Xenopus tropicalis: one gene and its partners. The protein of the gene in region 1 interacts with the protein of each later gene in a biochemical or structural test. Links are inferred from orthologs where the notes say so. Each region holds a gene or a part of one and is shown in the gene's direction. Other genes may lie near its edges. The genes, in order: top1.1, nkx3-1, topors and srsf1.

The links.
Region 2: the proteins of top1.1 (region 1) and nkx3-1 form a complex in vitro, tested with the Homo sapiens proteins (2 studies listed by BioGRID and IntAct). The link is inferred for Xenopus tropicalis from reciprocal best matches to the Homo sapiens genes TOP1 and NKX3-1.
Region 3: of the proteins of top1.1 (region 1) and topors, one has a biochemical effect on the other in vitro, tested with the Homo sapiens proteins (2 studies listed by BioGRID). The link is inferred for Xenopus tropicalis from reciprocal best matches to the Homo sapiens genes TOP1 and TOPORS.
Region 4: the proteins of top1.1 (region 1) and srsf1 form a complex in vitro, tested with the Homo sapiens proteins (2 studies listed by BioGRID, with this or other methods). The link is inferred for Xenopus tropicalis from reciprocal best matches to the Homo sapiens genes TOP1 and SRSF1.

Annotation. Positions count from the first base shown.
Region 1 is NC_030686.2:40,920,925-40,929,034, reverse strand, and holds part of top1.1 (DNA topoisomerase 1), read left to right. Parts: intron 1-1,916; coding exon 1,917-2,004; intron 2,005-2,496; coding exon 2,497-2,770; intron 2,771-3,165; coding exon 3,166-3,218; intron 3,219-3,303; coding exon 3,304-3,393; intron 3,394-3,887; coding exon 3,888-3,960; intron 3,961-4,090; coding exon 4,091-4,185; intron 4,186-4,267; coding exon 4,268-4,383; intron 4,384-4,587; coding exon 4,588-4,709; intron 4,710-4,803; coding exon 4,804-4,926; intron 4,927-5,048; coding exon 5,049-5,236; intron 5,237-5,339; coding exon 5,340-5,484; intron 5,485-5,605; coding exon 5,606-5,749; intron 5,750-6,258; coding exon 6,259-6,444; intron 6,445-6,560; coding exon 6,561-6,629; intron 6,630-6,721; coding exon 6,722-6,836; intron 6,837-7,347; coding exon 7,348-7,475; intron 7,476-7,815; coding exon 7,816-7,910; intron 7,911-8,110. UniProt on the Homo sapiens protein: Releases the supercoiling and torsional tension of DNA introduced during the DNA replication and transcription by transiently cleaving and rejoining one strand of the DNA duplex.
Region 2 is NC_030679.2:127,286,277-127,294,828, reverse strand, and holds nkx3-1 (homeobox protein Nkx-3.1), read left to right. Parts: upstream 1-3,018; 5' UTR 3,019-3,270; coding exon 3,271-3,502; intron 3,503-5,062; coding exon 5,063-5,466; 3' UTR 5,467-7,344; downstream 7,345-8,552.
Region 3 is NC_030677.2:115,115,126-115,121,909, reverse strand, and holds the end of topors (E3 ubiquitin-protein ligase Topors), read left to right. Parts: intron 1-1,640; coding exon 1,641-4,637; 3' UTR 4,638-6,342; downstream 6,343-6,784. UniProt on the Homo sapiens protein: Functions as an E3 ubiquitin-protein ligase and as an E3 SUMO1-protein ligase. Probable tumor suppressor involved in cell growth, cell proliferation and apoptosis that regulates p53/TP53 stability through ubiquitin-dependent degradation.
Region 4 is NC_030678.2:76,100,619-76,109,441, forward strand, and holds srsf1 (serine/arginine-rich splicing factor 1), read left to right. Parts: upstream 1-4,464; 5' UTR 4,465-4,718; coding exon 4,719-4,912; intron 4,913-5,893; coding exon 5,894-6,135; intron 6,136-6,962; coding exon 6,963-7,135; intron 7,136-7,386; coding exon 7,387-7,581; 3' UTR 7,582-8,559; downstream 8,560-8,823. UniProt on the Homo sapiens protein: Plays a role in preventing exon skipping, ensuring the accuracy of splicing and regulating alternative splicing.

The DNA of each region.
Region 1 (8,110 bases):
TACTTGGTGCCTTTACATAGCTGGTCCATAGCTTTCTGGGGAATTGACATTCGGAGACAAACATCAGTAGTTTGGGGATTTTTTTGCTCAGTAAGTTGGGGTGTTGTCCTCCTTCTACTCTAAAAAGTATAAAACTGATAAAGCTTAGTTCTAAAAAGGGAAAATAGGAATAGATGCAACACTATATGGCTGAGTTTGCCACAATGTAACTTTGCCTTGATTCTGTAAAGCACTTGGTATCATCCAATAAAGTTTACTAGCGTGGGCATGTAGGCGTGGGAGCTGCGAGTGTAATAGAAGAGATTGGCAGGGAGTGTGGGAAAGGAGGGGGTACCATGAGAGTATTTAGAGCCTCCCCTTTTTTAGTGAGCACTGGGTAAGCTTTCATTCACACTGCTCCGAGGTGTATCCGGCATTGAAATGAACGAAGTGTCATTGACTAAATATGTCTCCCGCGGGGATTGGATAATTATACCCGATGTAAGCAACTGGTTACGGCTTGGAATTTGTGCATTTATCTTCTACTGGCAATGGAACGTTCCTGGAAAGCCGAGCAGGTGGGACGTCTGTTTACCTGATGGGAGCATTATAATGTTTCAATTGCCATGGCTGCTCATCTGGCTTCCACCTGTTTCCCCAAAGGAGGAATCCGGGATTCTGTGCATTCCCTTTACATAGAGTATGTAGGATGTGTTTAGTAGGTAGAAAAGTACATTCTGGGCCTAGGAGGGACTGAGCCCTTAAACATTTGAGATCCCATGGTATTTTTGGGAATGCATACTGGGATCACTGGGAACCACTGCACTGACCCCAAATTCAGACTGTAGGCCTGGTCCTCCTAGTGAGGCCCATATAACTGGCTGGGTGGGGGGGAGGCTAAAGGCTGGTAATGGTGAAATTTGAGGAGAATAATAATAATAATGTGTAACTCAAGCCATTTCTGGTGGCCAGTTGTGATCCCCTGACCTATTGTTTAATGCCATAAATGCCATATTTATTAAGTATACTCAATTACCAAGTATGCTTATTGGCTTAAGGACAATGGCATAGGTAGGTAGTTTTCTCCAACTTGCTTGCACTAGTACAAGGTTCATACTATACAAAGGAAAAGTGAATCAATCAAAATGAACAATCACTTATTTAAATGTTAGGGGAAACGGAACTGCAGTGTTTCAGAGCTTTCCGGATAATGGGTTTGTAAGTAATGGAACCCACAAATTATGGTGCACACAGTCGTAGGGATAATTATCCTTGTGTTTCGTAAGCATTGCTATTTCCCAGTAAGTATATAGAATATACACAAGCTTAGTTATGACTGATTTCCCTGCATAATGTGATGCTGAAGGATGGGGCACCTCAAATGGTTGTAAATACAGAAAACAATAGAACATAATTATAGCGAGCACCTATTAAGTTAAAAAAACATTGGATACCGTTCATTTCTTTCAGACCCATGCCACCCCTCCCAGTGACCCAGTTTGGCAATTGGGGTTGTTATAGAACAATTCTTTAGCCCCAGACAGTCTATTGTCTAATTGCAGGTGGGGACTTCAAAAATCAATAGCTGGGGGCAGTTAAGCTTGCTTGGCCATTTCTGGTAGGTGGCAGTGCCTTCCTGCTGTCAGTCTGCTATTGAAGCTGCTCTGCCCTGTAGGCATGTTCCCTTCCACCCAACGCATTCCGCAAATATCAGCCTGGTAACTGCTCGTTCTCCTGGTTATTAACCCCTAAAACCACAGTCTGCCCTGGAGGAAGTGTTTTTAGCTTTTAAAAAAACAAAACAAATTGTAGTGTATAAATTACAGGCTAAACCTCGTGGTAGCCAGCTTGCCTGTCCCACTTAGCCTGCCAGGGCTGTTTGCTTTATAAAGGGTAACTTGTTTAGTAACTGATTTTTTGTTTTCTCCGGGATTTAGACTCTCATAAACACAAGAAAGACAAAGAACATCGCCACAAAGAACATAAGAAAGACAAAGACCGGGAAAAATCCAAACACAACAACAGGTATGTTCCTACCTTTCCTGAAAGGGCTGCTGACTCCATTAGAAAATCTCACAAGTTAAATTAGTGGGATAGTTATTGATACTGAAGCACTTATACGTTTGTGGGACAGCTAATATAGGGAATCAGGGCCATGTCTAGGCTGTTTATCCATGTAAAAGGTGTCCTGCCTTATAAAATGATTGCTATAAGGATAAGTGGTTATAAAGTGCTGTGTGGCCTTAGCCATCTTTAAGTTTGTAGTAGGAAAATGTACTGCTTGTATGAATAAATACAATATGAAGATAGACAAGGCTAGGATCTGGACTACATATTTAGCACAAACTGTACTTGGCCAGCCGTGTTTCTCTGATGAAAATCTAACAAATTAAAAAAGGAATCTCCTGAGCCCATACATAGACCAGTGCCATCGCAGCAGCTATATGCCCATGAATTGGATGTGGGAGATTTAGTGTTTGCAACCTACAGCTCTTTTTTTCTGTTTTTCCCCTCCAGTGAACACAAGGATCCTTCAGAAAAGAAGCATAAAGACAAACACAAAAACAATGACAAACATCGGGAAAAGGATGGCGAGAAACACAGAGAAAAAGATGGGGAGAAACACAGGGACAAAAATGGCGAGAAACACGATAAGCATCGAGAGAAAGATGGCGAGAAACATAAAGATGGAGAGAAACACAAAGAGAAAGATGCTGAGAAGCATAGAGATGGAGAAAAGCATAAAGATAAACACAGAGATAAAGATCGGGAGAAGAGAAAAGAAGAAAAGGTGAGGCTGTCATCTCCATTAAGGTGGCCACACACGTGGCGATTTGGGATGGTCGCACGAAAGATCGTTCAATCAGCCACTAACTGTTCAGAGCTGAAACGGCAGATAAGGTGGTAGAAACAATAGGATTTCTACCTCCTTCTGCCGATTCAGCTCTGATGGCAGAACTTGCTCAGGCTCCTTCTATGGCGCCCGATCAAAATCTTTTAACCGGTCCGATCGGCGAGTTGACCGATATATCAGCAGCCTCCTGCGATATTGGTCGACTCGCCGACTTGCCATACACGCACCGAATATCATACAAAACGAGGTTTTGAGGACCTCCTGCACTCATATTTATTGTATTCACTATGACCAGTATCACTGTTTAACCTGACTGCTTTTATCTCTTGCAGATGAAATCTTCCAGCGGCAGTGTTAAAGTGAAAAAAGCAAATGGTTTCTCTAGGTAAAGGCAATGGGTCGGTAGAGCAAATATACTGCCACTGGGTGCGGAGTTTCTCTTATTGAACACCCTGCTTCTTCTCTTCTAGTCCTGTGCGGGTTAAAGATGAGCCAGAAGATGACGGCTTCCACATGTCCCCCAAGGAAAATAAGGCAATGAAGAGGCCAAGAGACGATGAGTACGTGAGCAGGGAATGGTTAGAATGGTGAAGGGAGTAGGTTGTCCACCTACTACTGCACTTGTATTCCTCTCATCCAAGATTAATAGCCGCAGTCTTAATAGAATGAGTTGGAATAAATGTCATCAACCTACTCTGCCATATTGCTTGCTTCAGATATTCCGGAGTTATTCTATATAGGTAATATATAAGGAGGGAATACACTAGACAATCTAAGTCTTGGCACAAAGCTGGCCTTTCCAAAGGGCATTTAACAGCCTGGCCTTGAGTTTCACAAACTGTATTGTACTGTGACTGTGTAAGATATGACAGTGTCCAGCCAATAGCTTACATATAACTGAAGCAGTGTGTATGTGGTTTTTACCCCCACCCTCTTTTATTAGAATGAAACTCTGCCCACACAAAATGTTGTCATGTAGCAGATCATAAAGCAGAACTGCCCTAAAGTTTTCCTGTGGGTGCTGATTTTACCTACTGTGTCATTCTGGTTTTAGTGAGGATTACAAACCTAAGAAGATCAAATCTGAAGATGAGAAAAAAGGGAAGAAGCGGAAGCAGGAGGAAGAGGTGAGGTCTATTGCGGAGTAACTAAGGGGCATATTATCCTTTGTAGGCCAGCATCACCAATTTATGCCCCTAAGTGTCCATCTGGTTGGTTGTTTAGGAAGCAGTTTAAAAACATAGTTTCCCTTCACAGGATATTAAGCCCAAGAAAAAAAGTAAGGGCAAAGGCAACGAGGGGGAAGTGAAGAAGAAAAAAGTAAAAAAGGAGGAGGAAGAGAAGTGGAAATGGTAACCGCTTCGTGCCGTGCGTTATTGTATTTTATGGACTGTACAGCATTTCTTCCATTTCTAACACTTCTAACTCCTATAGGTGGGAGGAGGAGCGGCATGCTGATGGCATTAAGTGGAAATTCTTGGAACATAAAGGACCAGTGTTTGCTCCCCCCTATGAACCTCTCCCTGACAATGTGAAATTTTACTATGATGGTAAGTGGCTCTGCAGTATTCCCAGGTGTCCCCGTGCCTTCAGGTACCAGCTTTGCTTTTGTACTTGCTGTTAATAAACCACTTACCTATACAACCCCCTTGCTGGTAGAATAATTGGGAATAAACCCCTGGCCCTTCATATCTGCAGAGGATGGTGAATATATTCAAATGGGCCTTTATCCTTATATCTTCTGCTCGCTGCAGGTAATCTTGTAAAGCTCAGCCCAAAAGCCGAAGAAGTGGCCACGTTCTTTGCAAAAATGTTAGACCACGAGTACACTACTAAGGATATCTTTCGGAAGAACTTCTTCAAAGACTGGAAAAAGGTAGTTTTTTTTTTTTTTTTTTTCTTTGTTTGATTTAATCCCTAACTCTTTGAATCTGTCCAACTAATTCAACCGACTTCCTGGCCGCTTTCAGGAGATGACAGCCGACGAAAGAAACCTAATCACCAACCTGGGCAAATGCGACTTCAACGCGATGAGCCAGTACTTTAAAGAGCAATCGGAAGCGAGGAAAAACATGACAAAGGAAGAGAAGCAGGTGCTTAACCTTGAGAAATTGAGTTTTGCTCAGTAATGCAGAACAATTAGCTGCTATGGGTTCTAGTCGATAATAGGTCAGACAAGGGATTTTGGGCCTCATTTCTTTTATTCCTGCTACAGAAAATCAAAGAAGAGAATGAGCGGTTACTGCAGGAGTACGGCTTTTGTGTCATGGACAACCACAGGGAACGTATTGCTAACTTCCGCATAGAACCTCCCGGCCTGTTCAGGGGCAGAGGAGATCACCCCAAGATGGGCAAACTTAAGAAGAGGATAATGCCGGAAGACATCATCATCAACTGCAGCAAGTATGTAAAAACCCAGCAATACCAATTTGTGTTCATGTACCTTGTGTGTTTGGAATGTAGGAATTTTTTTTATTATCACTTCCCCCACCCCCCTTGATTTTAGAGACTCAAAATATCCTGTTGCTCCTGCTGGTCACAAGTGGAAAGAGGTTCGGCATGACGGCAAGGTTACATGGCTGGTATCATGGACAGAAAACATTCAGGGTTCCATCAAATACATCATGCTCAACCCTAGCTCCCGAATCAAGGTAAATAGATAATTATGGGCAGCCTGGCCACTAAGGCACTTCTGTTGTTGCTTTATATCCTAATGGAAATGGATCTAGAAAATTGAATTCCTGCAACTAACAATTCCTGTTTGCCTTTCAGGGTGAGAAGGACTGGCAGAAGTACGAGACTGCCCGAAGGCTCAAGATGTGTGTTGAAAAGATCCGCAATACTTACAAAGAGGACTGGAAGTCCAAAGAGATGAAAGTCCGACAGAGAGCAGTAGCGCTCTACTTTATAGATAAGGTGAGGCCCTTTTGTGTTTGATAGATACAAAACTGCGTTTGGTCTTGCATGTGTCTACTCGGCCCATCAACACTGCTAAACTATTAGGATATATAACAAAGGTCAAGGGTGGGTTTCAACAACCCATCCCGTGAACCTGTCTGATTGCAGATGATACTGTCTGCTGTTCTAAATGGGATGATGGGAAGTGGCCATGCATGTTTATTGCAACTAGTACAGTATACACTGCTTGTTGTGTCCTAAGGAGGTATGGGTCAGGTCATCTAGGCAGGCCTGCAACTAAACTAGATATTTTTGCAGTCCAAGGATTATCCCAGACAGCAGAGGCTATTCCTGAAGTAGTCACTGTATAGGCTGTATGCCTTCCCATTTTGTGGAATTCTTTCTTGTGACCCTAAGCTATTCCAGGAGTGCTGCTGGCCTGGCATTACTTACCCCCCCCCCCCCATGTTTGTATGTTTCACCTTAGCTTGTATCCTAATTCTACCCACCAAATCAATCCTTTTCAGCTTGCATTGAGAGCTGGCAACGAAAAGGAAGAGGGAGAAACAGCAGATACTGTAGGTTGTTGCTCCTTGCGAGTGGAGCACATCAATCTCTTCCAAGAGTTGGACGGCCAAGAGTTTGTGGTAGAGTTCGACTTCCCGGGTAAAGATTCCATCCGCTACTACAACAAAGTGCCAGTGGAGAAAAGGGTAAGTATACGGAGTTGCATTTCTAAATTTGTTTAGCTGAAAAATCTCCCCAATAAACATGGAAGGAAGCTGTGACTTTATGTACTAAAATTTTCCTTCTCTGGTGCTCTGCTCAGGTTTTCAAAAATCTTCAGCTCTTCATGGAAAACAAGCAGCCTGACGACGACCTGTTTGACAGACTCAACGTATGTAGATTTGACTTTGGACATTCAGGATTTTTCTGTAAACCTGCCTAGGACATATGAAGGTTTATGTCTTTTTATATCCCTTCTTTCAGACAAGCATTTTGAACAAGCACCTTCAGGACCTGATGGAGGGACTAACAGCCAAAGTATTCAGAACATATAACGCCTCCATCACCCTGCAGCAACAACTAAACGAACTCACTAACGGTAAGGCCCCTTTCTTACCCTACGTGGGCTGTAACTAGCGGGGGGTGTCTTATTAATACGTTTCTAAATAAATGTTCTATTGTGTTCTTAAAGATGGCATTATTATATTCCTCTGTCAGCTTGCTCATGAGTCCTGTTGTGACACTCTTCAGGTACAGGTATAGGATTTATTATTCAGAGTAGTTGGGACCTGGGGTTTTCTGGATAAGGGATCTTTCTGTAATGTCTATCTCTATACCTTGTCTTCTAAAAAAAATTGTAATCATTAAATAAACTCACCAAAATGGATTCATACAGCTTCGTTTGGAGCTTAGAAGCTACGGTTGTGTTTTTACAGAGAAAAACGTAATTTTAAAAACTAAAATTTTTGCCTTAAACTGAGTCTATGGGAGATGACCTTTCCTGTATTGGATTTCCAAATAACTGATCCTATATCTGTATTCCTATAATCTGACGTCTGAGAACCCTTTATGTATAACTGCTTGTGTAATAGTATTTTGGCTTGTTTCAGGTGATGACAATGTTCCCGCCAAGATCTTGTCCTACAACCGTGCCAACAGAGCCGTCGCCATCCTGTGTAACCATCAGCGAGCCCCTCCTAAAACGTTTGAGAAATCCATGATGAACCTACAGGGAAAGGTGAAGTTTGTGAATGTTTGGGTTAAAACCCTCTGTCTGTAAAGCTGGTGCCACCTACACAAGGGCACCAGATTGGTTACATAGGGTCCCTCCCTTTGGGTGGGGGGGGGGTGTATACTCACTGCCAGGGCAAAGGCACTTTGGGTGTTCTGATAACTCTTAAATATAATTAAGGCCTGACACATTTTCATTTGTCAAGTCAAGCCTTTTTTTTTTTTTTTTTTTGAGATGAAAGGATATGGTCTGAGCGAAATGAATCTGCAGCGTGACCGTTATTTGTGACGTTTAGCTCTGATGCCTGAAATGCACCTTTTAACTTTGCTTGTGTTTTGGGTTTTAGATCGATGCAAAGAAGGATCAGTTGATGGACGCCCGGCGAGAGTTAAAGAGCGCAAAAGCAGATGCCAAGGTCAAGCGGGATGAAAAATCAAAAAAGTAAGAGATAGCAAAATACGGTTTATTAGTACCACACCTTTAGGGCTACTAAACTGAAAATCATTATTGTAGCACTTCATTATTTTTAGCACTTTTATATTCCTATGTAAGCTTGCTCGTGCCACGAGTCTCGGTGAGACGGCAGGAGCAATTGCTTGTGCCAGTGGTATAGTAAGGGAGCAAGTGCCTGCGTGCTGTGG
Region 2 (8,552 bases), on another chromosome or scaffold:
ATACTCTTCTCTTATCCTGATGGAAACATTCAGGTCTGAGAGAAGTGGATCTACGCTTTGTGTAACCTCGCCCTTAGGCAGGTGATATTGGCCTGATCTGAACAGCCATATGATTGGATCACAATAATGCGCATACAGGCAGTTGGGGTGAGGACCGCATCAACAAGCCAATGTGGTCCTCAATCCAAAAGGAAAATCAAAACTGCCCGATAGACATCTGGCCGATAAATTAGGCTGTTCGCAGCACAGTGGAAGAAGCTGAACCAACACAACTGATGTTGTTAAATGAAGCCATTGAATTGACTTGGTAGCAGAGTTCAGTTCTTAATGCCAGCATCCCCTGAGATTCTGGTTCTTTCTACTCTATCCACCATTTGGCTAAGAAATAGGCAGGTTGGGGAGGGGGAGGACTGAAAAGATACAACAACAAATACAGAAAGAGAGCAAGTTTAAGCGAGAGTCAAGATACACAAGTGAAAGTGGAATATAGGAATAGGGAAAGAGAGGAAATAAAATGCAGCTTTTCTTGAACTACTTCTTAGTGCTTCCCGAACCCCCAAAAGAACCTTGAAATAAAAAGATCCCAATAGACCTACAGTAGGTCCTCGATTTTGCTTAAAAGCACCGTGCCTTATCACAGTTATGTTTAGGCTCAGACTGCCATTCTGTGGATTCTGGCAAATGCCAGAGGGGCTGCTGTAAGATGCCATAGACAGTCACTATTTATTGGGCTGGTGGGGGCTGTTGGGGCCTCTGTGTACTTGTAATGCCAGGGCCTATTTTAATTCCAGTCCGGACCTGCTTATGTGAATCAGTTTTTGGAAAAGTCTCCATGTAGCACAGCACACTACTCTTTAGTTATCCATGTATGGTTCTGTCCAGATTTAGCAGGGGCTCTTGGGCTCTGGAAAGAGTGGTTAGAAAAACCAGACAAATATACTTGTGAGCCTCACTACTAGAACAATGTCTCCAAAAATATAATATTGATAAACATTTTGTGTTGTTGGATTAGAAAACCTGACCTCAAATATTTTTTTTCATCACAACCTTCTAGATTGGCACAAGGTGGCAGCCCCAGACCTGCACAGCAATCAAACAACCTCCTGTGCCCAAACTCCTATAAAACATCTGTGAGTGTGGAACACAGAATTGGCCTGCCTTCCCTATGGGAGAGATATTAGCGCTGCCCAGACAGAATACAAGCCTGACTACTCTGTTCCTGTTTATAGCTGAGGGGGAACGTATACATATGTATATATAATTATTCAGCTCTAATCCAAAAACCCCTGGAGTGGAAGGAGTTTCTTCTTGTGAAAAGGAAGCAGCCCGAGTGGCTGAGACTGGAAGGCAAACACAAGTAAAAGAAGGATTATGCCCAGGAAGCAGGTCTGACCAGTGGCGGGCTGTCTGTGCCCAAGCGTGTGGCAGCACAGGCAGCGGGTGCTGTAATTAACTGCACTATAATTAGCCATTGTCGCCAATAACTAATGATAGCTGTAACCAGAAAAGCATTCTGGGGAATGAATACATGTTATAGGCACTAAACCATTTGCACCCGAGCAGACAATTTTTCCCTCCCACCATGAGAAATAGCAACTGGGTGGGTTCTGGGTGGTATCTACAAGTTACTGGGCCCCTAGTGGAATCATTTTAGGACCCCACTATACTTCGGTAATAAAACATATTTAAACATATACTCAAGCTGTTTTATAGTCAGTCTCCAACCCTCACAATGTCTGCTTCTCCACATAGTGAACTACAACTCTCAGAGCATGCTCACTAATCATTGGCTAACAGAAATTGCTGGGAGTTGTAGTCTAGAACAGTTCAACTGGCTAAAGCAGAAGGAAATCTCAAGCATGTGCCTAGGACACAACGGTGTGGGGGCAGGGGGGGGGGGCGTCATTATTGAGCTGGGGGGCTGTTTGGGCCTCTGTATACTTGAAGCGCCAGGGCCTATTTTGAATCCCAGTCCAGACCTGGTATGAATTGCAGGGCAGTGACATACAGAGAAGTTACTAAACCTCACAGCAAAATCATTCTAAGCCCCTCTACCTTTTGTGAATAAGACCTTTCTTATTAATCTAAATTGACACACTGGCTTGGGCCCCCCAGAATTCACAGGGACAGCTCCCTCTATAGTTTCACCTCTGGTGCAAGGGTTGCAACTGCACTAGGGTATGCAGGGACCAATGGTCCATACTATGATATACCAGAATATAGAGTTGATGTGACAAATGATTATTTGGGATGAGCACGGGGGGACCTTTGTATATGACAGGGGTTTCTGGGAAATGTAGTCTAGCTGTAGCTAGAGTGATACCTGCCAACCCTCTAATTAACTGGAGACTGGCTGGATTCCTCATTGGTTCTTCTATTTACTAGAATGTATGTATATACAATGAGAGTACACTGGGCTTGGCTTCATTCATCCAAATTAAATCCATAGCAGATTTACATGGAACAGGAAGTGTTTACCCTGTAAACAAACAGTACATGGATGTGCAAGAATGAGTGAGAACCACTAATGTGCCAGTGCCTGAGGACTCATTAAGCCCATTATGCTGCTAATGATGACAATTACTGTGTTAGTTAAACCCGCTTAGTCTGATAATCACCGAGTGGCTGCAGTTGCCTTTCTGGTACCAATATATATAGTGCATGTGAATGGCATCCAAGCTGTATATTTTATATGTGTTAACAAAACTATATATATATATATATATATATATATATATATATATATATATATATATATACACACATACATACACTTGGATAAATATATGGGACTGGTAGACTTATGAGAGAGCACAAAGCAAGTTTCCAAGCAGTGTCTTGCACAGTAGCTGTTCCAGCAGGGGAGGGGAGATAAGGATTTGGTGATTCCTCCCCTGGGTGTAACATAAGCTGCTGTACCTGTGTGGGGCAGTCTGTGGGAAGGCAGGGGTGTCAGCCTGGCCAATCAGAAGAAGGCTGGCTTAATACTGGGGAGCTATATGTACTGGAGATGGAGAGGCCAGTAGAGAGATGAGAGAGCAGAGGGCAAGGCGCATTGGTGGGCAAAGTTAGGGTAGCCAGCAGCATAGAACTTACCCACACTCCACCTAAAAAGCCATTTATTATTTTCTATACTTCTGTTTATTACCTGTTATTCCAGAAGTCTAAAACATAATTTAGAAGGTTATTTCCCCTAGCCTGTTTTACCCAGGACAACCTTGCACAATCAGGGTAGGCACCTTATACCCCAGCCCAGAGCACTTAGCGAGGATGTCTCAACAAGGAACAGAAGACCTGTCCCTTCCTGCCAAGCCACTGAAATCCTTCCTCATCCAAGACATTCTGTCACATATAGGACCTGGGAGAAAGGAAAAAAGCCTGGACTCCCCAAAGACAGACCAGGACCAGGATTCTTCCTTGGGGGGCAAGAAGGAGAACTGTACCCCAGAAAAACAACAGTCATCGTCCCAACCTGCAGAGATGCACCACAGCCAGATGGAAGGTCAGTGCAAAAGTTTATATGTCAGGATTATTGACATGAAGGATAACTTACCTTTAGCCATTCCACATAGATGAGCTGGGATGAGTAGTCCTGAACCTGTAGGGAGGTTTGTGCTGGTAACAAGTGATGGGTATATGAGATATGAGATGATACTGTAGCTGAGTACATAGTTAGTTGTTGAGGTTACTTTTAGCCCCAATGTATTATAGTGCTTAAGCTGGTTAGCTCCCCTTGCAGCCTCAGTTTGACTTGTTACCCTATCTTGGAAAGCTTGGTGGCATATGTTCTAATTATGACCCATACAAACAAATGGGTAACATTACTAGCACTGTGTCCCGGTTTTTACAGAATAACTGAAGCTGCAAATGGGCTGATTGAGGTCATTGCTATAAAGTTATCCCCTGCCAAGACTTCCTTTCCTCCTGCTGGGTCCCAGAGTGGAAACAAATGTTTGCCAAGTGGCACCGCTAGAAGCCTAGTCAGGGGTCAGAACACTGCTTGTTGGGAGTCCAGGATGTAGAAATACTTATTAAAATGTAAGATGTGTGGTTACCCTCTGCATTAGGTTTTATTATTACTTCATATTAGAATAGAGCTTTCTGGAGCATTGTACATAAATCTAACTTCCTGTTGTTGTTGAACTACAGCCGTTAACACGTGCCCCTTCTTCATTTTATATTGTGTAGCTCATTAATCAAAGGAACCTATTTTAAAGCAATGTATTAAGCCTTATTGACAAGGTCAAAATAATCTTTCTAGGGCAAATGAATTATGCAAAGCCCATGCAATGCTTATGGGATGTGTCCCAGTGATATGTAGGTAGCAATTGGAGCTAAACATATTTTTACAAATAAATATATATATATATATATATATATATATATATATATATATATTAATAATGCAAAACAGTCAGGACCCCTACTGTGCCCTTCTGTCCCCCTGTAGTTATTGGATATGCTCTGTTTCTATGCCCCTGACTATGGACCAGCTTGTCTCTGATATCTGTATCCTATCTTTGTAATAAGACTGGCCTATGCTTATAATACACAAAAGGCTGTCTTGTACAATATAGTGCTTAATGATGTCATCAGAAATGGCACTTTCAGTGATTCCACTTGTGTAACATGAACTATTAAAGCTTGTGTATTATTACAAAATACTTATATACCCCTATTTAGAATTCCCCTCAGAGTTCTGTGACCTGTATAGAAGCACTGGCCTACAGGTTTTGGTCTCAGGTCACAGAACTTCTTTACGGTGACTTAGATTGTAAGCTTTACGGGGCAGGGACCTCCTTCCTACTGTGTCTCATACCACATGGCACTTACTCCCTGTGTATTTATACTTATTTATTGTATTTATTATAACACTTTTCCTTCCTGTGTGTAATTCTGTATATTTTAAGATTGTACAGCGCTGCATACCCTAGTGGCGCGTTATAAATAAAGTTATACATACATACATACTTCTAATAGCCTAATATTTTGCAATAGAATAGCAAATCATTCTTAGATATATTTCTTTTATTGACTCTTCCCCTTCCTCATCTTTCATCAGATGAAAATGTGGAGCTAGACCAAGCTCAGCCAATATCCCCGGTGGAAAAGAAACTAAAGCTGCAACAGAAACGATCCAGAGCTGCCTTCTCCCACTCTCAGGTCATAGAGCTGGAAAGAAAGTTCTCCAGCCAGAAGTACCTGTCTGCTCCAGAGAGAGCCCAGCTTGCCAAGAGCCTGAAACTGACCGAGACCCAAGTAAAGATCTGGTTCCAGAACCGGAGGTACAAGACCAAGAGGAAGCAGCTGGCCACTGATATGGAGGAGGTAGAGAAGTCCTCAGCTCACCCTGTACGGAGCAGAGACACAGACATCAGCCGAGCTTCACTCCTCAGCTTTTACCAGAACTATCACTGCTACCCCTACCTGTATTACCTGGCAGGGTGGCCCACGCCTCACTGGTGACCTCATCCTTAGGCTACTGGGACTTTCTAAATTATAATATATTTTTCTATTTTAAAACTAATTTTGATACCTTGAAATCTAGCTAGACAGGACTTGTAGCGGGATGAATAGCTATTTAATACTTATACCTTGCACTAAAGGACAATAAAGCCACCTACGATTGGCTGCAATAAGACATTGACTTGAAAACACTTGTTGCTTTTAGTGGAAGATCGCAAATCTATTGTTTCTATATTGCTATTGTTGAGTAATAACTCCCAGCATTCCCTTAGAGTGTTCGCACATAGGGGACTGTGGGAGCTGTGGTTTAGCCAAAGCTTTAAGGTCCCTGCTGGGATTGAGAGTCATTGCTACAAGAGGGTCATATTAAAGTGGTGGGATTTAAGTAAAGGTAGATGTCAAGGCCCCACAACATTGCCTACATGACCTGAAAATCCTAAGATTGGCACATGGGTATCAATGACAAGGACAATCTTATCAAGCTTTGATCATATAAGTAGATCCTAAAACCTGTTCTGTGAGCTCTGACATTTGGGGATCTATGGATTAAGGGCCGCAGACTATAAATCCTTGTCCAATTTAGTGTCATCAGCTTAATCTCTTTCTGTAAGGGAGGGGCAGACGGTATCAGGCCTTGGCTGGGTCTTCCCAGGCCAAGCTTTATCCCTATGCCTCCAACCTGCTAGATCTTTGCACTTAGAATTCTCTTTCTCTACTGGGATCCATTGTTCTTGATAATGTATTCCTATAGCAAGCAGACAAGATCAGCCCTTTCACTTGGGTTACCTATAAAGGAAATTAGCCTGCATGAAAGTAATACTCAAAAGAACCCTGCAGCTGGCCCATGGCACATGTTGGTGTTTTAGCCATCAGAAGTGCCTGAATGTGGCCATGCAACCTGCCATTAAACTTGAATAGAATCTAAAGTTGGCCATACACGCATTGATGATATTGTACAAAACCTCATATTCGGTGCATGTATGGCGGCTCGACGAGGTGACCGATATTGCAAAAGGCTGCGGATATCGGTCAAGTCATCGATCGCCCAGGTTAAAAGATTTTGATTGTGTGCCATTGAAGGTGTCCGAGCAAAATCCACGTTCAGGGCTGAATCGGCAGGTGGTAGTAGAATTTCTATTGTTTCTACCTCCATATCTGATGATTCAACCCTGAACATCATCGAAAATTGCTACAAGAATGGTCACCTTAAGACTAAATAATTAATAGGCTACAATTCTGCTTTTGGGCACTTCTCCGCCAGGAAAAATGGTGGTGTAGAATGCAGTTCGGAACTAGGGGTAGGCAGAAGAAGCACCTGCCTAAGCGGGTACCTCTCCTACCAACCCCTGGTCTGTGCTCCCCTGCCCCCGCCATTTCTATTGCATATATGCGTGCTTCTTCGCACACTTGCTGCGTGCCTATGTGGGGTCGTGGGGGGGCAGGATGTTCGAGGGTGGCATTCAGTTTGACCCGCCCCTAGTAGAATGGAAGGATGTTCCCTGTATGTCATAGGCTTATTTGCTATAACTGTGTTTTGGTTTGTGTTGCTCTCCATGTCTTTTTACATTTGACTGTGGCTCACAACTAAGAAAGGTTGGGGATCCCTGCTATACGGCTACACAGACATAATAAGCAATAGTTCCCTACTTCACCCAAAGCAGCTATGGATAGTGGGAAGATAAGGATACTCCACACCAACATATTATTCACCAACATCTGTGCCAGTGACTGAGCCTGGGGAAGGAAAATATTGGGAATAACTGTGTTTATGTGTGTTATGTGCCCCTTTGGGGAGCTGTGGGGAATTAAATGCCTTATAGTCAGAATCTGACAGTTATGCTGACACTATTTGCAAATAAAAATTGTATATAATAAAAACATGGACAATGAATCTGTAATTATTACTAGTCACATAATTCCTTTAAAGTTTACCTTTAAATTAAGTTAAGGTATGTTGTAAAGAGTGCTATTCTGGAACAATTTGCAGTTGGTCTTCACTTGTTATTATTTGTGGTTTTTGAATTATTTAGTTTTTTACTGTATTTAGCAACTCTCCAGTTTGGAATTTTAGCAGCTATCTGGTTGCTAGGGTCCTCATTTCCCTAGCAACCATGAATTGGTATGAATGAAAAACTGGAATATGAATATGAGAGGTCTGAATAGAAAGTACAAAGTAACAAAAGCCTCACAGAGCAGTAGTTTTTGCTGCTGGGGTCAGTGACCCCCTTTTGAAAGCTGGAAAGAGGCAGAAGACAAAAGCAAATAATTAAAAAACAATAAAAAATGAGAAAAAAGAACTGTCCATTTTATAACATACTAAAAGTTAACTTACACGTGAACCACTCCTTTAATTTACCCCTCACTTGAAACACTGCCAAACCCTGGCCTTCTTTAATGTAAGAGCTAACCAATATTGTACATTTTACATGTCTTTATTGCCCAACTTATTATATGCTCGCCTGTTTCAGGTTAACACTGCCACATATTTTTTGGAGCAGCTGTGGGGGCTACCAATTAGATCATAGCCTTTGGCCCACTTGGTACATAATTAATTTGGGTTAAAAAAGTCTATCAGGGTGAACCCCTTAAAATGAACCCCAGTGTACATATATACACAGCAATCCTATGTATATATACATATCCTATGTATATATACTATAATAGCCCCCCCAACCTTATTTTTTAACTCATGAGTCACATTCAAATGTAAAAGGTTCATTAGCCAAACAAGTGTGATGCAAGTTCCTGAGGTTGCCAAATACGGGCTATGATTGGCTAGCCCATGAGGACTGCCAGCCTGCAAGAGGCTGTTTTTTTATTATACTTATGTCTTTATGCCTCAAAAACTTGCCTTCAAGCTAGCAATTCAATAATTAGCACCTGCTTTGCGGCCACTGGGAACAAAGTGGTGGCACAATACATTGCTGACAAGCCACTAGCCACTACTAGCCTAACCATCCTTCTGTACAATAAATTATCCCACAAACTGGCAGCCTACTAATCATGCTCAAATCCTAGCTGCATCTCCATGCTGACATATAAACATACGGGGAGCATTCTTGTTGGAAAATGTATGAAATATAAAT
Region 3 (6,784 bases), on another chromosome or scaffold:
AGGCTGGGCTTTTCATCTCTGCAGAGGGACGTGCAGGAGAAAGTACTTTCTGGGTACCCCTGTAGGTTCATAACACCAGTGGGAAAACTTAATAAGGTTGTATGTATGTATGTATATATATCTTTATTTCTAAAGTGCTTATTATGTACGCAGCGCTGTACAGTAGAATACATTAATACAAACAGGAGGTTAATAAGATAATAGATAAATACAAAGTATAATAATAAATACAGATAAATACAGCTGCAATAAGTTAAGAGTCGAGGACACAAGAGGATGGAGGTCCCTGCCCCGTAGAGCTTACAATCTATATGGGAGGGTAACTAACAGACACAAATAGGCAAATATAAGTGCTGTAGGTCACAGTAGGTTATTCACCTTTACATTCATTTTTAATGTTATAGAACACCCCAGCGTACAGCCACAGCATATTTATTTTAAACCTGAAACTCCATGGTTTCCATTACTTTAGTGGCTGGTTAAAATAGTCTTATTGATCCTAATGTGTCTATACATTCATAGATCCCTACTACAACCGAATGCAGGCTAAACCATTGAAAGCCCATTTTTTTGCTGAATTAGAATTCATCTGTACGTCTGTTCCTTTTTTACCTGTCTGTATATTATGTCTCCAACAAATTCTCACCTACAGTGTTACCTTTTAGTATGTTATGCAGGTATGGGACCCATTATCCAGAGTGCTTTGGGCCTGGGGTTTTCTGGATAAGGGGTCCTTTCATAATTCAGATCCCCTACCTTAAGTCTGCTAATAAAATTATTAAAACAGTAATTAAACCCAGTAGGATTGCTCCAAAAAGGATTAATTATATCTTAGTTGGGATCAAGTACAAGGTACTGTTTTATTATTACAGAGAAAAAGGAAATCATTTTTTAAAAATGTTAATGATTTGATTAAAATGAAACCTATGGCAGAAGGCCTTTCTGTAATTCGGAACTTTCAGGATAAGGGGTTTCCAGATAAGAGGTACAATACCTGTAGAATGGCCAGTTCTTAGTAACTTTTCAATTCGTCTTCATTTTTCATTTTGTATAGCTTTTAAATGTTTTGCCTTTTTTCTTCTGACTCTTTCTAGCTTTCAAAAGTGGGTCACTGTCCCCCGCAGCCAAAAAGCATTTTGTGAGGCTACAACTTATTGGTGTTTTTTATTACGTATCTTCCTATTCGTGCCTCTCCTATTCATCTCTGTGTCTCAATAATATTACTGCCTTGTTGTAGGGTCATTTAGACCCTAGCAACTAGATAGGTGCTAAAATTCCAAACTGGAGAGCTGCTGAACAAAAAATGGAATAACCGAAAAACCACAGTTAACAAAAAAAAAAATGAAGACTAGTTGCAAATTGTTGAAATTTCTATGTCTTAAAGTTACAGGATAAATTATGGAAATATTTCACGAACCACAATTCATAAAAAAAAATTTAGGTTATCATGCTAAAAGTTAATTTTAAGTTGAACTACCCCTTAAGATACAGTGCAAAGAGATACCGTATAATAATATCATTTAGCGTCACGAAGAGTAGGGATGCATTATCACATTTATTTAGCTTTTGCATATAATGTATAAGTTTACCAAATAAGACTAGTACTGTAAAATTTAATATGTGTTTTTCTTCTTTTTTAGATGATGGCATCATCCTCTAACAATTATTCACTAGATGGCAGCTTTTCACCCCAGGCTGGCACAAGCAAACTACAAAACCATGGTACTGCAACAGATGCTTCCCCAGACTCAAAGTGTCCAATATGTTTGGACAGGTTTGATAATGTGTCACATCTTGATCGATGTCTGCACAGATTTTGTTTCCGTTGCATTCAAGAATGGGCAAAAAACAAAGCTGAATGCCCTCTATGCAAACAGCCCTTTTACTCCATTTTCCATAGTGTCAAAGCAGAGGATGATTTTAAAGAATATGTCTTGAGGCCCACAATGAATGGTTCATTTGCCAGTCCTGATGGACATAGATTTCGTTATCGCACAACTATGAGTAGAGACAATCATGTAGCCATTCGGACATTAAGGTCTTCAAGCACTCAAAGGACATTTTCACCTCCTGACAATGGAATTTTATTTGAAGGGTTTTCAAATCAGAATTTACATCAAAGAGGTGAAGAAATCCACCAGATGATAAGAAGGCTAGCCTCCAGACGACAAGCCAGTGCAGAGGGTCGTTCTATGAGGCAAATTCAAGAGCAAGAACTCATTAACTTCAGAAGAGCTTTGTACCGGTCTGGAATACGTGTGAGAAACATTCAGGATGGCGGACGTTATAGAGATATTTCTGCTGAGTTCTTCCGGCGTAACCCTGCTTGTCTTCATCGGCTAGTACCATGGTTGAAAAGAGAGTTGACTGTTCTCTTTGGTAGCCATGGTTCCCTTGTTAACATTGTACAGCATATTATTATGAGTAATGTCACACGATATGATATGGAAAGTCAAGCATTTGTTGAGGATCTTCGTCCTTTTTTGCTTCACCGCACAGACCATTTCATACATGAGTTTGTTAACTTTGCCCGATGCCCTTACAATATTGAAGCATATGATCAGCATGCAAACTATGATTGTCCTGCTCCTTCATATGAGGAAGGAAGCCGTTCAGAGTCATCTGTCATCACAATATCGCCAGATGAAGCAGATACCAGAGATCCAATTATTCCTTCTGCTGGTCCTGGTGTTGGCCAGACAGCTTGGGATGATGAGACCCCTGGTCCCTCTTATTCCACACTTGAGCAAGCCTCAGTTGCTGTATCCACTACACTAGATATCTCAGAAAGCTCAGACGATGAGCCACCCAGCATAAGACAGACTTCACAAGAAGTTTCCAACAGTGAACCCACAGAAAACCTGCAGGATCAGTCCTTTCCAACTGATGACTGTGTTATAGTAGGGTATGTTAAACCACTGGCAGAAAGAACTCCAGAATTAGTTGAATTGTCATCCGACTCCGAGAGCTCATTGAGTGAGGTTAAGACAGAAGATGCCAAAAAGCCTACGATTAAACCATTTTTCCTAAGTGACAGTAGTGAATTGAGCAGGTCATCATCATCTTTGTACACACCTGCAAAAGAAAAACGTTCACGCAAAACCAAGGGAAAAACCACATCTAGCAAACATTCCCATTCCAGGAAAAAAGAGAAGGGAAAATGTCGACTTGATTTAACTTCTAGAAAGGATAAGGGGGATTTGAACAGTAATTATGCTTTGTCCAGATGGAGGGATAGGTCAAGGAGTTCTGATTGTTATTCTCGTTCTTCTCGCAATAAAAGCCACAACAGTCGAAGGAGGCATTGCAGCAAAAATAATTTGAAACCCAGGAGTCCTGAAAAGAGCAGGCATAAAAGTAGGAAAGGAAGGAAGAAATCTAGTAGTAGGGATCGAAGTCTGTCTTGGAGGAGTAGGACTGTGTCACTAACTAGTGAAAGCTCCAGAGAGAGATGCGAGTCAAGCTCTAGAAGCCGAAATCGAAGTAGGGGTAGGTCACGAAGTCATGATAGTGACAATGATTTTTCTTCCAACAACTATCGCAGTTCTTATCAATGGGAATATACCTATTACAGTCGAAATCGGGATAGAGATGGCTATGAACAGTCCTACAGGAGACGGACTTGTGGTCGAGGACGTTATTCAAGACCCTCTGCTAGCCCAGAATATAAAATTCAGTCTTACTCTGAAAAGAAAGATACAAGAAAGGAGAGGGGATACATTGCTAGTAAACAATATCGCCGTGAGCGATACAGGTCAAGGAGTCGCTCAAGCAGTCAGATGAATACATCAGGGACTGAGCATACCAGATCTGACAAACCAAGTGGAAAAAGAAAATACAAAACACACCATTTGGAAAAGCAGGAAAGGGAAGGGAACAATCGAGAAGTTCCTTCTGCCAAAGAAAAAGAGGGAGGTCTGCAAGCAGGCAAGACTTCTCTTGGCAATCATACTGGTAGTCTCAAAAATGATTTAATGGGTTCATCCTCTGAACCTAAGCAGAAGTTAAGAAAAAAGGCAAGAAGCCCAAGTGTGGAAATAGTATATGAGGGCAAAGCAGTTGAAGGGGCAAAGCACCACAAAAAGAAGAAGAAAAAGAAGCACAAGAAAAAACGACGCAGGGAACACACTAATTCTCCAGCTGCTTCTCCCATCATTATCACCATTGACAGTGACAGTGACACCCCAATGGTGGAGGATCTCCCATGCAATGACCACAGCTCCCTGGTACCTGAAAACAAAACTAGTATTGACTCAACTAACTTCATGCACAGCCAGTCGCCACCTACCTCGACCACAGTAAGTACCACAGAAGTACTAAGTGGAGAAAGGGCAGACTCTGATTCCAAAGCCTCTGATTTATGTTCAAGTAACAGGCACTTAGATGCTGCCACTGGAATACTGGATGGTTTACATTTTGATGATAGCTCTGATGAACAGAATCTGCTCCCTGTACAAAGTCCTCCTAACATACCGGATCTCTGTGAAGTAGAACCTTTAGCAGCTGAGAGTTCCTTGCCAGAGTCTGATCCTATACTGGACAATGTACCACCTACATCAACTTCAGAAATATCTGAACTTCATAAAAGCTTTGCTGAGAGTATATTTGACTTTGATCTCTTAAACAATGTAACATAGCACCAGTTTCCTGTTAAGACTGTTGGACAGGAGACCGCTTCTTGTTTGGTTTATTGGTACCAAATTCTGGCTTAATGAAGACATCTCTGCTTTGATCATTTTCATCTCATTTATTTTAAATGTTGTGTATTTGCTGGCAGTAAAGCATAATTTCCAAAGCAACATTTTAATTCCAGTATCCCTTTACTGATTATTAATTAGGAGTGCATACTAAGTGCATAATTCAATTAAAGGTCTTTACTAGAGTGCAAAATTAAATTATTAAAAGTGGCACATGGAGTATGTGCTTCTCTCCGTGATATTCTATGAACATTGTTAAAGTGATACTAACAAACACACTAGAAAATTTTAAGTAATGCAGTAGTGCCATCTTCAGGACCTGGGGATGGTGCATTGTTTTGCTGTATTGTTGGAGCTAGAGCAGCTAAAAAAAAAAAAAGGCAAACAGCCCTGAAGAACAATGATTTCCAGTGCTTAGTGATGTTCTGGGACACCAGGTCCTGTGGACGACATTATTGCTTTGCTTAGAATTCACAACTCACCATCACTTTAAGCTTTAAAAAAACCCTCTTATGGTTGAATTGTTAACAATAAAAAAAAAAAAAAAAACCTTATATCCACCAGAAGACTTACTCCCTCCCATAGGTGCTAAAGTTCTCCAGTGCAGTAACTCCAAACAGCAAATAAAACAAATGTCTGGTTGGTTGCTATAGTTTGATGCACTAGTGCATTTTAAGGGGGATCTCCAGACAAAAACTTTCCTATATACATTGTTTTTTTTAATGGTTTTGAAGCTATTTGTAAATGTATCTGCAATGTAAAGCAGTTTTCTGTTTCTGAACAGCCAGACATGACTGATTTCAAAAGCAAATATATTTACAAATAATATGTTTTAGGCAACTCATGCTTAAACACCTTAGTCCCCTGTCAGCTGTTTGTAATATTAAGTGACTCAAATGACTAAAGTGATCACCTTTGAGCCTGTCACTGCTACAGATGTATGTTTTTACTTTGCAGGAATAGAAGTTGTTTAGATCTGGCAGAAACTGTTGAGCTTCAATCACCCCAAGGGAAGATTTATCAAAATCCAAGATAACCGCTCACCAAAGAAAAATCCACCCACCTTCTATTCATTCCTATGGGATTTTTTCACCCATAAATACGCTTCTAAAAATTTCATAGGAATGAATAGAACGTATGTGAGTTTTAAAAAGTGGGTCAGTTTTTTTTGTAGTGAGCTCTAATTTTACACTGTTAAATCTGCTCCAAAGAGTGAAGTTAGAGCTCGCCACAATCTGTTAAAGTAAAATTCCACCACAAACCTTCATTTCTATGTCATTTTAAAAGACATATTTATCAAAGGGTGAACTTTCATTTATTGATAAATACTATTTTTAAAAATCCCATAGAAATTAATGGAGAATGACAGTATTTCACTTTAGTGGACTGTGGCAAGCTCTAACTTCACACTTTGATAAATATACCCCATTGGTTTGTTTTTCACATGCTTTGGGTCTACCAGCAGATGAAGAACATGAACAAGGGTGAATTTATTTAGGGATAAGTTACTCAACAACCCTGGCATCATTTTCTTAATTGACTGGTTAGTTTCTTGGAGGTCTACACAATATAGACTACCAGCCTAGTTTAGTAGAATGTTACTGCCCTTCCCAGTATTTCCTTATCAGGAGACAGTTATGCATAACTCTCAAAGAAAAAAGTTAAGAAACATGAAGGGCTGGAATGAGTTGTAAGATAATTTAACAATAAATTTGTGGTCCACAGATGAAAAGCTCCCCAAATAACCCTTGGCCACCACTCAGATGAATGGGATATGTCTGCTCATGTCACTTTTCAGCCTTGAAGGGGATAGTCTTCTTTGTGTTAACTTTTAGTATGATGTAGAGTGAACAACTCTAAGCAACTTTTCAAATGGTCTTCATGATTTATTTCTTATAGTTTTTAAATTTTTTGCCACCTTCTTCAAACTATTTGTGGCTTTCAAATGGTGGTCACTGACCCTGGCAGCCAAAAACTACTGCTCTGTGAGGCTACAGTTTTATCTCTAGTTACTTTTTATAGCTTTCTTTTTTGCTATTCAGTCCCTCTCCTATTCATATATCAGTCTCTCATTCAAGCCACTCCCT
Region 4 (8,823 bases), on another chromosome or scaffold:
CCCATTTTTTTGTTGCCCCCATATCCAAAGTAACAAAGCAAATGGCTCCCAGCATGGACACACTAGGGTTCAGTACAGTATTTGTATTTTCATTGCCTAGGAAAAAAAAAATAAATACACAGTACTATGACTATAGACTTTGTTTTGTATCTGAACTAAATATGTACATGATCATTAGGATGATATCCTCTGTGTTCAGTAATACACAGAATGTAGCAATCTAATTGCAAAAAGAATACAATTGCCTTTATTGTGGTCACAAGGCAACACTTCTGTCTTTCATTAGCTGGTCATCAAGCCTGGCTTGATGTGCATGGTGTGCACGGTGTTGGTGTATCCAACGCTCTCTTCCTCCTCCGTTTTCTCTGTTTTCAATAATGCGTTATTGTTATACTGGGTCTGTACTCACAGGGGCAGGCGTCAAATCTAAAATGCAAACAAAAATTGGTCTTTCTTTAATTCATATTAGTTTGCCACCTTTCCTCAGACAGGAAGTACTGCTGAAAATCAGATGTGGCTGGACCACAACTCCTTGGAGTTGTAGCAAAGCCACCTGCAACCAGGGATTGCTGAAGTAGGTCAGTGCATAATATCCAAACTACCACACCCACCATTCTGTGCATCTGCATGGGATGCATCAATCTGTGCAACTGCATGGGATGTTTGGTGTGGGAGAGGGGGAGGCAGTAGAAATATGAAACTAGGGAGAAAGAAACAGAATAAGGGCAACTTTCCAGTTTCAGTGATTCGTATACAAGCCCTGGCATTAACATCCTGTTGAATGTAATAGATATGCTGATTAGGTCAGATCCAGTTATATGATAATTTTGTTATTTATAAGTGGTAAGTAGGACACTGACTGAATAAAAGATATTTACATTTGTAGACCTTAGGTTAATGCTAGACTGAGATGTTTCTCTGCCTATATTGTGTCTGCACTCAGAGGCATTGTGTTAGCCCTGGTGTAGACACAAATAGCAGATAGCATATACCTCCAAGGACAACAACTGAAAGTAGCTCATACCCCCACAGTGTTATTTGTTCTATTCTTTAGGAAGCATATGCTTTGTTCCCTCCTAGTAGATAAGGTAAACTGTAGTGAGAGGATGTTGAGCTTTTTTTTAGGCATGGAAGAATAGCATTGTTTATACCCTAATTCCAACAGTTTTTGTGAAAAGCGCACGCTTCAGGAATTCAAGACTTCATTCATCTCAGTGCTCCGTAAACAAGGGGATTATCTGTTCTGGAACACTGGTTCTTCAGGACATGTATCTGCATCTGGCAAGCACACCAAGATTTCATTAGCACTGTCATGAGGAATTGCAAGATCCAAGATTATCAATTATAATTTATAGCCCTTCTCTTCAGCCTCTCATCTTCCCATAAATATCATTAACACATTTATGGTGCTTGTAGTAGTATATACACTGTACTACACTTAGATGATTGACTGATATGTTCAGGATTTTCAAAAAGTTACTACTAAATCAAATATTATTGCCATGCAGCACACACAGTTCCTGGATGTATTGATGGATTACTCTCAAAGCCAGACTGTTCTTCCCAAGAAATTCCAAGTCTGACAACAACCCTTTTTAATCTTTCAACACAGGCAATAACCCCAAAAATACTCTGTATTTAATGATTACTTTTTAAAAGTCTGCATCAGTTCTTGCTTGAGTGATTGCTGCCTGTTGAACAGGAACCCACTGCAATGTGTGGAAGAACAGACCATGTAAACAGATCACCATGTACTGGACTTTTTGCACATAAAACTGTAGTTATTTGACTACATGAGTCCATGCCAGAGGCAATTAATGTGGGGGTTTTGAGGTGACGTGGAGTCTGGGGTTTTATGCTCTCCAGCTCCAGTGGACTGCAGTTTGTGCTGTGTTTGTAAACAGAGCAGGTTTTTGTGCCCATAGCATTGTGCTATATTCTAAGAAGCACAGGATCTGTATAGGGACATTCAGGTTTTAATACATTTTTTCCAGCTTCAGAGAGGCAAATGGCTAACTGCAGACCCAGATTGGATCCAGATATGACAAACTGGGACGTGACTAATCTATACCCACAGCAGACTGATAATTCACTGCAACTATTCTGTTTAAAATACATAATCCACAGCTCTAGAATTCAGCATGAACTCCAAACTTTAGGCACAAAATTGACAATTGTTTCCCTTTTTGGTACCGTTTGAGTGGATATGTTTTAATTTCATTTTTACAACTGTATGGATTTAGATACTAGAACAACAACAAATTCCTTCTTTTGAAACGGATGCCCTTGTGTCTGCTGGAAGGACCTACTGGTAAATAAAGCATTAGAGAGATAATATGGTCCCCTTATATAGTTATACATATATACGGGGATCATAAATGAGAGCGCAATTGCTCTTTTTAATCAGAATTTTTGTTCTTAAGGTTGCCAGAAGCGACACTCCTGTTAACTTGCCCGGCACTACCATCAGAGGCAATTTTTTCAACTTTTCAACGTGCTGCTGCCATGAGGATAGTTAAGAAACTCACCTTTGGTGGCAGCGCCCGGCAAGTTACCAGGGGTGGCAAAAAAAGATCTTAAAAAATAAAAAGTAACAAAGGAAAACTATATCCCCAATCACTGTAGGTCTCTATAAAATGTATTGCATAAACACCCTTGTGTAAAACCCTGCTTCATCTAAATAAACGATTTTTATAAAAATATACTTTATAGTAGTATGTGCTATTGGGTACTCCTAAATAGAAAGTTGCCATTTTAAGAATTAAGGGCCGCCTCCTGTGATCATAGGATTCACAGTGCACACAAACAAGTCAAGGAAAATATGCATGCTGGGCCCCATCAGCCAATTAATGAACAAAGTTCTGCCTTCTTCCTGTTACAGTTAGAGCTGCATTATTTCTGGTCATGTGATCTCTGAGGGCGCACACAGCCCATCACTAAATTGTGGATCAAGGAAAAGGATTTAAAAGGGCAATATTTACTGATATATATATATATATATATATATATATATATATTCCAGTTTGGCGAGATTCTTTAATAGGTCACTCTGCATAATATAAACTATCTGTTGGTTAAGTATTCATTCTGGGGGTATAGTTTTTCTTTAAAGAGATGAAATTCTGAGCGCTATTTCTCTCTCTACAATACCGATGTGGGGGGAAGCATCAACTTGCACACCTATTCATGACAGTACCCCTTGCCCCCTTTGTTCCACTGTCGGAAGTGACCTCTCAAAAGCTATATTAAATTTGTTCAAAGAAATTTTTGTTTGCTAAAAGGCATACATTTTCGAGTATTTTTCTGTTATGGATTTTTTTTACATTCCAGCATCAGTTTCTTAAATACTTTTGCACTTTTTGAAGTGCTTTTCCACTTCAGCCCAGGGTTGCACTCCCTACTCTGTAAAGCGCTGGGCAATATATAAATGTACGTATAACTTTATTTATAAAGCGTTAGAAGGGTACACAGCGCTATACAATCTTACAATATACACAATTACACACAGGGAGGACAACTGTTATAATAAATACAAGAAGTATAAATACACAGATTGAGCGCCATGTGGTGTGAGAGAGTAGGAAGGAGGTCCCTGCCCCATAGAGCTTACAATTTCACTGCCCAATCTAAGCTCGACTAAAATAAAACAAACAAATATGCACAAGGCCCAAACAGGAGTGTAATGTAAGGCATGTATTTATTATCAACACATAAATATTTGTAGAGTGTAAGCTCTTTTGGGCAGGGCCCTCTTCACCTCTTGTATCGGTTATTGATTGCTTTATATGCTACTCTGTATGTCCAATGTATAAAACCCTTTTATTGTACAGCGCTGCAGAATATGTTGGCGCTTTATAAATAAATGTTAATAATAATAAATAGGACAAAGTCTTCCCAACCTTGTTTGCAATATTACCCTGACAGCAGTTACAAAGTATTGAATTGCAGTGCTACTTTAATGGGGAAACCATTGAGAGTGGACCACAGAGACCTTATCCGCACACCCTAACACTCCAAAAAAAATTTTGTACGGTGCACACTGCTAGAGGGATCGGCACCCTCCAAATACACTGTAACAACAAAAAAAGCAATTGGCACTCAGGACTACAAACAAGGGTAAAACCCTTTTAAAAGTTTTATTGCGGAAACCATTGAGAGCACACCTGTAGTTAATGATTTTCATACTCATAATGAATGTCACTGCAGATAAAGAGCTAACAGCCTCCGACCATGGTTCTATAATACAAAACCACCTAACAACAGCCATGGCGCACGACGAGTAACAAAACATTTTTCAAACAACACCCACTGCCCTCCCCCACTATGGGCGCGCATTTCCTGGACGGACGTGACGTCAAGCACAGGGTATAGAAAGCCCCCCTATCACATACAGAGAAGCAGCTTGAGCTCAGGTTTCTAGTATAAATATTACCTCAGTGAATAGATTCTTTCTTAGGGCCGTAATTGGCACATAGCTTTAGGAACATTGCATCGTGAAGACGTGGAAACGAGAGGCTCTATATTGTCTCGGCGTAAGATTACCTTTGTTGAGGACGCACCACTGCGAGTTCTTAGTATCCTTGCGCGGCTAAAGCAAGGGAGGAAGTAACTCCGCCATCTTGTCCAAGCTCTGAAGCGCGCATCGAAGGTCTGTTTGGCTTCCAACTCCATTTCTTTTTCTTCTCAATCCGTCTCCCTTTAAATCCATCAAGCTGGATATGTCAGGGGGCGGCGTGATTAGGGGGCCGGCGGGTAACAACGATTGCCGTATCTATGTTGGCAATCTGCCGCCAGACATCCGCACCAAGGACATTGAGGACGTTTTCTACAAGTATGGGGCCATTCGGGACATAGACCTAAAGAACCGCAGAGGGGGCCCGCCATTCGCCTTTGTGGAATTCGAAGATCCAAGGTAATCCCTGTGTAAATGTTTTTGCTTTGGCCTATCGTGCTAATGGGCTCGCCTAGTGTTAACTGGTGAATAACTACAATATACCTTGAGTGTATCCGGGGGCGGGGTGGTGGTACTGCGACTTTATTTCTGCTGTAGTTGATAAAATGTCGTCCGCTGTTGTATTAGAGTTTATATATAGTCGAGGAGGCCAGTGAGGGGGGGAATTAGGCCTGATTATGGTGCAGGTTATGTTTCAACATCGGTGCGTTGTATCATTATTCAAGTTAATATATTTAGCCTATAATCCCTACAGAGTGGCGCCAGAATGAGGTATTATACACTCATTGTGTATCGCCATTAGCACGTGTAAATCCCTATTTATTACCGCCTTTAGGCAACAGCGCCCCCTGTGTGTGGGACCGAATAGCGCTTCCGCTCTTTGTTCTGCAGCCCTGCACCATGCTTACTAGTGTGTTAAGGGAAGGCATTCTAACAAGCAAATGTGCTTTGGGTTATTTATTGACCTGTTTGCTTTAAAGCCGCTGCCTCATGTCTCTGCTATAAAGCATGCAATTAGGCTCACTGCACTTATTCAACCAGAACTCCTAACACCTTTTATGTAGGCTGCTTGGAGAAGTGCAGTATTGATATTCAATAGCAACACTACAAAATGAATAATGGGTGTTTAAGCATCTGCACTATATGCACATATGTAAAGTATTGGTGAAAATGTACTGTTTAAATGTAAATACAAAAGCTTTTGTGTAGTCATGGGGGCAGCCATTCATGTCTAAAAGACTGTTAAGATACAATGGCTTGCTTACACAGAATTAATCTGGGGTCATGTGTCGTTTGTAGCTCTATACATGACTGTAATAAAGTTTTCTCATTTACAGCCAAGAAAGTTTTCCAGGATATGTAATTACCATTGTAGGTGAATATTCTCTTCTTAACCTGGCATTCTTTAACTAAAGCAATTCTTACCTTGGTTTCTCTTAGGGATGCAGAAGATGCTGTCTATGGTAGAGATGGCTATGATTATGATGGCTATCGCTTGCGTGTTGAGTTTCCAAGAAGTGGGCGAGGAGCTGGAGGCAGAGGTGGTGGTGGTGGTGGCGGCGGCGGAGGAGGAGGTGGTGGAGGCGGCGGCGGCGGTGGTGGTGGTGGCGGCGGAGGAGGAGCTCCCCGAGGGAGATATGGACCTCCATCAAGACGTTCAGAATACAGAGTGGTTGTGTCAGGTAAGAGTTCTATCAGGTGGCAGGTTTAAAAACCAAAGTAAAAACATCAGTTGCAAAGTTTTAGAGGAATAATGCCCATCAGGTTTTTACAAGCAGCGTTATTTCACATGTATACAATAATGAGTTGGACACAGTTATGCATACATTCTAAAGTATTATGCATTCTATACCAGTGGATATGACTGACCATTAATGTATACAAACAGAACTACTAGTATATCTCCCTTTAACTTTAGTTCAGTTAACGGCTTGCATCAGCTTAACAGAACTTAAGCAACTCTCTGCTTGGTCCTTGCAAGGTAGATAATTGTATTACAGTTCACACACAATTCTCCTGCATAATGGACTTCAAACCATGCAGTCACAAGAAAAGGGAAGGATAGGGTATTGTCTTCAAACAAGATATTAAATGGCCCTGTCTGGTTGCTCAGGATGCTATCTGGACTATGAAAACTTGCACATGTTGCTATGTTACCTTCAGTTCAAACATGAAGCACTGCAACAAATTTACCTTTAAAACGTACTAAATGTAAACCCCTGAGTTATTTTAGCAGAATTGGGCTGTTGTGAGTCTCGCTGGAAGCATGGTTCAGATTAAAACAATGGGTTTTCCCCAGGATGCTGTGTTCATTTAAGCAATACAGCTGTCTTTGGACTGTTTTAATGCTCCATGCATTGCTGTATAACCAGCATAGATACCTACTCTTGGAATTTTGGCACTAGAAGTTCATAAACCATTTTAAATTTCCACCATTTGCATGCTTTTAATTATGTATAAAACTGCTTTTGATACCAAATTTGACACTCTGATAACTTTATATTTCTAGGGTTGCCTCCAAGTGGCAGCTGGCAGGATTTAAAGGATCACATGCGTGAAGCAGGTGATGTATGTTATGCCGATGTGTTCCGAGATGGTACTGGAGTTGTGGAGTTTGTGAGGAAAGAAGATATGACATATGCAGTACGGAAGCTGGATAACACTAAATTTAGGTCTCATGAGGTAAATACTAAATTGTTTAGTAGTTTGTGTTAAGTTTTTCTCTACCTATTGTGACTAGCAGTATCTGTTTTACATGACCTCTGAAGCCAATAGTGATGTTGGCCAAATACATAAGGTGCCAAAAGATATGGGAATTTTAAATTTTCTGTATAATGTACTATAGTTGCTTGACTTTTATCGTTCTTTGATGTGCCTAAGTTCATAAGATATTGAAGATTGGCTTGTTCAAATCCAGCTTCTCTCATTGATAGGGAGAGACTGCCTACATTCGTGTTAAGGTAGATGGTCCAAGAAGTCCCAGCTATGGAAGATCGCGGTCACGCAGCCGCAGTCGTAGCAGGAGCCGTAGTAGAAGCAACAGTCGCAGCCGAAGTTACTCTCCAAGAAGAAGCCGTGGTTCTCCACGCTACTCTCCTCGCCACAGCAGATCTCGCTCTCGTACATAAATGAAAAACACGTGATGCTTTTTGTAGACCCTCATGTTGTATACAGTTTTCTTTACTTTCATTTTTTTAAGTCACTGTTTTATTCAATTTTGCCGAAGTGTTGAATCCTTTGTGTAGTATTGCCATCAGACTGGCTCCTTAATGCCCTCATTTCCCTCATGCCTAAAACTGTATTTTAACTGCTAGATTCTTCCAGTTTAGCTAGCCACTCTTCAGAGGCACCAGCTGGTGTTTACTATGGTTATGGCACTGTGGGTTTTGGTGGTTGATTACCATACATTCTAACTTTTTTTTCCTGGGGGAATTCTTGTTTTACCTTGCCTTTTCATGTGTCTTTCTGTAGACATATCTGAAGAGATGGATTAAAGGATTGTGGAGGACATTTCAATCATTTTAGGATTATCAAATGGAGGCTTGAGGAGGATCAGATCAAATATGGAGGCCATGGTATGACTCCAAGTGCTACTGTTAGACAAAATTGGCAGTATTGACCTTATGCTGAAAATTCTTGTTTTAAGAGAACAATTATTCATAAGTGATACTGTGATCTGTTTTATAAATTTAGTCCTGTGCTTGTAGAACATGTCCTTTTTCTATTCCTGTCTGTAGGGGTATTTCCACAATACATGTGAATGTCTTGTGGGCCTCATTCTACTAGGTAGAGTATAATATCAATACTGCTAAACATGCATGTCCTCTGTGGTTCTAAACATTGCTCTTGTTTTAATTGTCACATTAAAAATCAAATGAACTCAGATGTTGGTGTAAATTGCTGTGGGAGGGATACACTTTTTCAGCCTATACCCATTGCAGACTGAGCTTTGCAGATATATGCTGACATTTACATGAATGCTGTTGGCTGCTTGTGACTGATCAGTCATAGCTTATGCATAGCAACTGCATACCAACAACATGCTTACTTTCCTCTGTGATACCTTTTTTAATAAAACTTCACCCACTGTAAAAATGGGCAGTCCTCCTGTGGGTCCAATTGTACTTATTGTAAACTGTTACACACAAAATTACTTTTTTTTTTTTTTGCATGTTTTTTTCTCCTATCTTTTTCATATCCAAGAAGATATAACAGCCTTATGCAAGCTCTACCTGTAGAAATATTTTCTTTGGTATCACTTCCCAGTAACCTATAAATTCCACCTTTTTGTAATTCCTACTCTTGTATTGCTCCCAACAATGAGTCTGACTTTGAATGATACCTTAGTTATGAATAAGGAAGTGCTAATG